2 linked regions of the Rattus norvegicus genome follow. The protein of the gene in region 1 purifies or fractionates together with the protein of each later gene. This does not show direct contact. Links are inferred from orthologs where the notes say so. Each region holds a gene or a part of one and is shown on either strand. Other genes may lie near its edges. The genes, in order: Arpc2 and Actr3b.

Region 1 (3,818 bases):
CTTTGGAAATCTACAGTTATAATCCAGTAGCCATCATCTAAGTTTGCCTAGCATTTGGGGGAGGCAAGGTGGATGATGGTGTAGCTTGTTTGTCAGATCAGGGAAACAGTGTTTCTTTCCACTCCCTGTTGGCCATGTATGGGGATACAAGTCATTTGTACCAGGACCCAGGAGGTAGAGTAGGTGGGTCTCTGTAAGTTTGAGGTCAGGTTGGTTTACCTGGAGAGTTCTAGGCTAGCTAGAGCCACATGGTGAAACTGTGTTTCATAAAACAAAAGAAAAAAAAAAAGAATTGGCTAGTCAAATGTGAGCTCAGATTTTACAGCTAAGTGTCCAGAAAGGCAAGTGCTTGACCAGGCGATCTGAGAAGATTTGTAGCTCCTAAGGTGGATGCCATCTGTGCATCCTCATTGCCATCAGTGCCCAGTCCGCATGATTGCCGTGGTTCCCATGCAAGTTCTCTGCATTCTGGCCCTCAGCACCTAGCTTCAGTAGTGCTGCAGTGCCCAGGTTACTTCGTAGTGCAGGAAGAAGGAGCCTCAAGAGATGCCCAGAGATTAAGCGACTTCAAAGATAATCATTTGTCTTGTCTTGATCTTGTTAGATTTTAAAATACTTATTTATTTATTATTTTATGTATGTGAGTACACTGTCCTCAGACACACCAGAAGAGGGCATTGAATCCTATTACAGATGGTTGTGAGCCACCATGTGGTTGCTAGGAATTGAACTCAGGACCTCTGGAAGAGCAGTCAGTGCTCTTAACCACTGAGCCATCTCTCCAGCCCGATCTTGTTAGATTTTAATTCAAATATTTTTATAAAGATTTATTTATTTATTACATATAAATACACTGTAGCTGTCTTCAGACACACCAGAAGAGGGCATCGTATCCCATTACAGATGGTTGTGAGCCACCATGTGGTTGCTGGGAATAGAACTCAGGACCTCAGGAAGAGGAGCCAGTGCTCTTAACTACTGAGCCATCTCTTCCTTAACTCATATATTTAAGACAACAGTGTTTGTGGAGGTTTTTTTGTTGTTTTGAGACAGTTGGTAATAGTTGAATAGCTTACCAGGTATTTAATATTAAAGTAGAATCTTTTGTTTGAATTTGAGCATGACTGATTATGGTTATGTTCTTGTAATATTATGTCTCCCAAAGATACATCTTGATGTATGTATGGATTAGATGTCTAGAATTTGCTTTGTAATAAATTAAGGTGGGGTGAGTACATTTTGATCAAAGCCCCATGTGCTGATCAGCATTAATGCTACATAAGTAGAGTTGTTTATAGCTTTCTTTCTCTTAGAAACATGTCACAGTGAAGTTTTTTTACTGTTACTTTAGTATAAACTATGGTTACACTAAAAATAGCTTTGTAATTTTAAGGGAGACCAAAGAGGAGGCCATGGAGCAATTCCATAGCAGTTTTTCAGTTGGCTTCCCATGAACTAAAAATAAACATCATTTTACTTGCATCTTTCTTATCAGAGGCCTCCTCATGGCCAGCCCTGTGGTAGGTGCTGGGAGATTACTCCTGTTTCCAGAGTGAGCAATCTTTCTTGCTTTTTTTCACAGATTTTGATGGCGTCCTTTATCATATTTCAAATCCTAATGGAGACAAAACAAAAGTGATGGTCAGTATTTCTTTGAAATTCTACAAGGAACTTCAGGCACACGGAGCTGATGAGGTAAGTCCCACATTGGTTTCCTTGGAACTCTTGTGTTTACTTTACCATTTGTTGGCCCCCTGCCCTTCAAGGGGGGCTACATCACCTTACAAACAGGCCACTTTATACAGCTAGCTGGGGGTTCCAAATTCCATTCCCCATAACAGTGTTTTCCAGAGAAGATTTTGGCTCTTTGCTTGCTTGGTTTTATCTTGGAGCAGTATTTCCTGAGCAAAGTTTAGAAGCTTTTTTATAAAGGTCTCAGGTAGCGCAGGCTTGATGGAAAGCCTCCAATTCCTGATTGCCGTCATCTTCCAAGTGCTAGAATTATAGGCATGTACCACCACACCCAGCTCGGAATTTATTCTTCTCAAATCATTTAGGTTAGACAGATTTTACAAAAGAATGAAAACAAAACAGCTAGTCCTCCAGAAATAACAATATTTCCTTAACTGTACAAAAATAGTTATGGCAACAGTGAGACAGGTTCTGTCCCATATTTAGAATCTTATCAAGGTGGCTTGGAATTTGTGCTGCATTAAACTTCATAGTCTTGGTTTTCATTCTGAAAGTGAAGCATAAATAACTGTTTTGTCAACCTTTTTAAGTGACTTTTCTTTCGAACTGACCTTTCCACCTATCCTTATAACTATACCATAGGGAAGTGCGGCCTGGTGCCTTGTGCCTTGGCTTTGGATAGCCAAAGGAGGAGGTGTGGTTCCTGTTGAACTGCAGTTGCTCTGGGGTGAGCCATTTATGGAAGAAAGAAAATGCTTTACACCAGTGTGTGCACATTGTGGTTGGGTCTCAAAGCAGGAAGTATGACTCAGTTCCTGAATCAGTTTTAACGAACTAGGCTCTCTTAATCTGCTCCATGAAGAAGCAGCCATTTCTCTCTCTGAGAGTGGTAGCTTTTGAACAACTTCAGATTTCTGAAAGGCTGTGTACTAAGGAATGTGATCTAGAGCTTGTAAAGTCTTGCTCTAAAATCAGACTTAGAGTTCTAAGATCTGTAGGGAGCTGAGCCCTTTTTTGTTCAGGTGCTTTTGATTTGCTGAAGGGAGAGAAGTAACTGGAGGGAATTTGAGGTAGTTTTATCAGAAGGCAAGCTGGTCTGTTGCAGCTTGCGACCCAACCTGGTTTGGATTTGTAAAGACTCATTCCATCCTGTGCTTGGTCTGCTAGTGGAACTCTGGAACACATTGCAGTTTTCATAGCTCCCACATAGGCCAAAGAGCCCAAGTGGGGGAAGGAGCGACATTCCCAGTGTGGGAGTGGAGTAAGTGACTCCCTAGGTTGGTTAAACAGTGACCAGCCTGTGATAACCACAGGAAGCTTGTTACTGTTTCACAGGCCCTTTTTAAAAGCAGAACGCTCTGCTGCTCCGTAGGCAGGTTTAATAGTTATAAGTAGGTAGGCTGACTTCCTCTTCTCCCAACTATTAAAAAGAGGCACAGATGTAAAGGTGAGTCAAGGTTGGAAGTGTGAGTGAACAGTGTGCTGCTGTGGAGACAGCGTGAGCCCAGTGGGGGGGGGGAGGGGCGGGCGGGCAGGGTTTGCAGGGGGATCATGAGCTCCAGGCCACTGTGGGTTATACAGTGAGACTGGTCTTGGGAAAATAGCAGAGAAGTGTACAATGGTTATGATGCAGAAACAGAGAAGGCCTCAATGGCTCAGTGGGTGAAAGCACTCGACATGCAAAGCTGGTGGCCTGACTTCAGCCTCCAGAATCATGATGGAAGGAGAAAACTTGACTTCTAGAAGTTGTCTTCTGACCTCCACACTTGGCACCAGCAGCCACACACATGATAATAATCATAAATAAAAAATTAAGTATTTAGGGCTGGACAGATGGCTCAGCAGTTAAGAGCACTCCCTGTCTGATCTTCCAGAGGTTCTGAGTTCAATTCCCAGCAACCACATGGTGGCTCACAACCATCTTTAATGGGATCAACGTATATGTACCATAAACAGATATTTAATAAAAGATATTTTAAAGAACAAAGGAATAAAAAGAATTACAAATGTGGCTCTAAATACTTTATAAATTTCACAATATTCACTTGGTAAGACTGGAGGAGCTTTGGCTTCCCTGTGTTTGATACTCCCTTTCTTCAGTATCAATTGTGTAGGATTATATTCAG
Region 2 (3,818 bases), on another chromosome or scaffold:
TCTCGGAAGCAGCATGACCTTGGTTGTTGACATAGCAGTACCTACCTGATAGGCTCCCCTGAGGACCCAGTGACAGTGACACACAGAGGAGCAGCCAAGTGCTCCCCAACTGCTGCTTCTTACTTTAGTGATTTGCATGTGTCTGTCTGTGGAGATGTAGTAGAAGACATGTATTTGTGACTCGGAGGTGTCTCCAGTCCCCGTGGTAGACTGGTTGGCGTTCTTTTTGTAGAATGTATTGGTGGGAGTAGGAAGGGCCAGTGACATTGAGAACGTGCCCTCACCTGCTAGGTAGTCAGGGAACGTTTCCAGGAGGGGATGATTCCCGCAGAGACCTGAGGATGGGGAAGAGTATGATCAGGGGTTAGGGGTGTCAATGCAACAGAATCTTTGTTTCATAGTTCATTAAATTCTGGAGTGAAGTTTATATGATTATTATCACTAATATGTACTGCTAAGATCTGTGATATTGTTGTTTGAATAATTATATTTCTCTTTTTGCAACAGATGCCGGCCTATAACCCAATAGCTTCGTTTTAATTGGAATGCACAGTTTCCCCCTCTTTATAAATAAGCTCTATATCTAAGAACTAAGATGTCATTTCATTAAAATGACTTAACACATGCACATTATTTTTCCCTTCGTCTTCTATGTTGTATAGAACTTTGCCCTCCACCCTATTTTACAACCACCCCAACCCGAGGTGGGTATAAGGCCCATAACATCCCCTGCTTGCTTATGGGGTCCTCCAGATGAGGCTGATTAATAACATTGCTTCTGTGCCGACATTAAAAGCAGTTCCCTCGCATCCCACTGAGATGATACTAGAAGAGAGCTATTTGTTTCTCTGTTACGTCATGTGCTCGCCACGTCTCCTGTGAGCATCCCAACCCCAGATACAACCTAAGCAGTCACCATTCACTTGTTTGGACATACAGATCACGTCCATTTCCTGAAACTTCAGGTAGCGCATGGAGACTGCTGGCGTCTTTGTGAAAGAAAAACATCTCTCTCCCTTCAGGTATTGCCATCCGAGAGTCGGCAAAGGTAGTTGACCAAGCCCAGAGGAGGGTGTTGAGAGGAGTTGATGACCTTGACTTCTTCATAGGGGATGAAGCCATTGATAAACCTACCTACGCTACCAAGGTAAAGTTGTGCCGCAGTGCGCTTGGGTAAGAGCAGAGCCAAACCGAGCAGAGCCAAGCCGCGCAGAGCCAAGCCTCGCAGAGCCTGGCTGTGCCTGGAGATTGTACCTGTGCGTTGTGGGCTGTCCCTTTCTTACGCTCAGGAGGAGGTGGTTAGTTGAACGGGGGCGTTGCTTTTGAAGAGGTGCATTTCTGAGTGGAGTACCGAGTCACACCGGTGTCAGCAGGGTGAGCAAGCTCTGCCCTTCTGGGAAGGTGCAGGTTGACTAACTCATGTCAGATTTGGAAACTTGCAGACTGAGTGACTAAGAAGAAGCACTAATATTAAAGCAGGCATTTTGAAGACATGATTTACATTACTTTTTAAATTTAGCATACCAAGCCATGGATTGCATCCTGGCATTTTCATAGACACAAGTCACTGTACTTTGTTCTTACTCTTCCCTACTTCCTCTGATGACCTCATGAACTCCCTTGTCTACCTGTCCACCTTTGCAGTTCCCTCCAAACACTCCTCTTCTCTGCCCTCATGAGCCATGAACTTCACCATTCTCCTTTTCTCCTGCCTCCCTTAAGAGCACTTCCTCTCCACTCATGGTACCCTTTTGCTTTCACTCATTACAGTAACACACAGACATACACGTACATTCATACACACACACACACACACACACACGAGAGAGAGAGAGAGAGAGAGAGAGAGAGAGAGAGAGAGAGTTAAATCTAGGTTCCATATATGAAACATGCAGTCCCTGCTTTTCTGAGTCTGGCTTATTTTATTTGCCCCAACAGTCTCCCTTTGCATCCACTTTCTTGCAATTGTCATGATTTCACTTTTTAAAATGGCCATTGTGTACCGGTACTACACTTAAAAGGAATCCACCCACCTGTTGACTGACATCTGGCTGGGTTCCATTTCTTGGCTACTGTGAATACACAACGGTTGCCATGGACATGCCTATGTCTTCCAGGTTCATGCCTTGGAGTCCTTCAGTTGTTACATGCCGTACGTGGGCTCCCTGGGCTATACTGTAGTTCTGTGTTTAGTTCTCTTCAGGAACCTCCACACTGACTTCTATAATAGTTCTGTCGGTTTACAGTTCACCAGCAGTGCTCAGTAGTTCCTGTTTCTCCACCTCTTCACCAGCAAAACCAGTGTTTCTTCTGTAATCACAAAAGGACCAGAGGGCGTTGGATGTAGATGAGTCTGCCCATGGCTGCCCAGGTAGTTCCACGTACTAAGAGGAGCTGCCGTAAACGCACTGGAGAAGTAGTTCCTTATAAACCATGCTGTTTATATTCGAATCACCGGGAGCTTCCCACAGGATGCCTCCGTTCTGTTGGCCCACACGGCCTCCTCTGTGCTTGCGTGGTGAATTTGTTGCTTCTGTCCTTTTTGCTCCAGTGGCCTATACGACATGGCATCGTTGAAGACTGGGATCTTATGGAAAGGTTCATGGAACAGGTGGTCTTTAAGTATCTCCGTGCCGAACCTGAGGACCATTATTTTTTAATGGTGAGTAGTTGGAACCAAGAGAAATATATTCCTGCGAATTCCAAAGTACTTGGATTTTTTTAAACATAAAGTCCTCCTAAAGACTTTGGCATGAATCAGGCTGCTTTTAGGGCCAAATACCAGAAAGTGCAAGAAAAATATCAAGGACCTAAAAGGCTTAGCACCCTGTAGCTCAGGAAGGCCGGAGCCTGGCTGCCTTGGGCCGCTCAGTTCAACAGCTTGGAGACAGACTGGTCTTTTAGTATGGCATCTTCTTGTGGCTCTCTGGTGCCTCAGGACAGCTGTCCAATTCTCTGTGTTGCTACTTCAGAGTCTTCGTGTATGTCTGCTCAGTAGTGAAGGAAACTTCCTGAAGCTTAGCAGCCATTCTGAGGAACCTTCCTGGTGGTTTTGCCCAGTTCTTGAGTTGTCAGTGGGTCTCTTAGACTGAGAGGAGGGGTGGCTACTGTAACCTCCAGCACAGGGTCCAGAGAGGGAGGCTTGGGTGGGAAGCTCTTGTGTCCTCTGTGTCCTGGAGAAGTAAGTGAGTGTTATTCTGTCATAGCAGAGGATGTCACTTTGCAGTGTTTAGATCCTACTGTAAGAGGGAGCTGATCTGAGCCATGGACTCTGCTTATGACACTTAAGTGTCCTGTGAAACAAATCAGCATAGAGAAATAAGGAGAAGCACCTCTCGGCATCTATGAGATCTGATTGTTCTATTCAACAATGTTTCCTTCTGTGGAGTAGCCTTTTTACATTAAAAGTAGTCCAAGGTAGGGGTTGGGGATTTAGCTCAGTGGCCCTGGGTTCGGTCCCCAGCTCCGAAAAAAAAAAAAGAAAAAAAAAAAGAAAAAAAAAAGAAAAAAAAAAAAGAAAAAAAAAGTAGTCCAAGGTATAAAATGCTTACTTCATAAACAGCAACTCTATACAACATAAGCTGCATATTAAACTCACATGAATAAGCTTTGGATTTCTCTATGCAAGTATATTGTTAAATGGTTTCAAATTCAGTTATAATTATTTCCTACACACACTCTTTAGAGTTGTCTGGTTTAGAAGGTGGTAACTACAAGGCCAATAGTTATGGAATCTACATGTTTAATGTCTATCAAGGCAAGTCTTTGAGTGTGCTCTGACCTGTCTCTTAGGTGTGTTTTCACACTCAGACTGTCAG

The links.
Region 2: the proteins of Arpc2 (region 1) and Actr3b purify together in Homo sapiens (affinity purification with mass spectrometry; 6 studies listed by BioGRID and IntAct, counting the BioPlex papers as one, with this or other methods). This does not show direct contact. The link is inferred for Rattus norvegicus from reciprocal best matches to the Homo sapiens genes ARPC2 and ACTR3B.

What each region holds. Positions count from the first base shown.
Region 1 is NC_086027.1:83,279,721-83,283,538, forward strand, and holds part of Arpc2 (actin-related protein 2/3 complex subunit 2), read left to right. Parts: intron 1-1,582; coding exon 1,583-1,695; intron 1,696-3,818. UniProt on the Homo sapiens protein: Actin-binding component of the Arp2/3 complex, a multiprotein complex that mediates actin polymerization upon stimulation by nucleation-promoting factor (NPF).
Region 2 is NC_086022.1:10,037,270-10,041,087, reverse strand, and holds part of Actr3b (actin-related protein 3B), read left to right. Parts: intron 1-1,022; coding exon 1,023-1,147; intron 1,148-2,551; coding exon 2,552-2,662; intron 2,663-3,818. UniProt on the Homo sapiens protein: Plays a role in the organization of the actin cytoskeleton.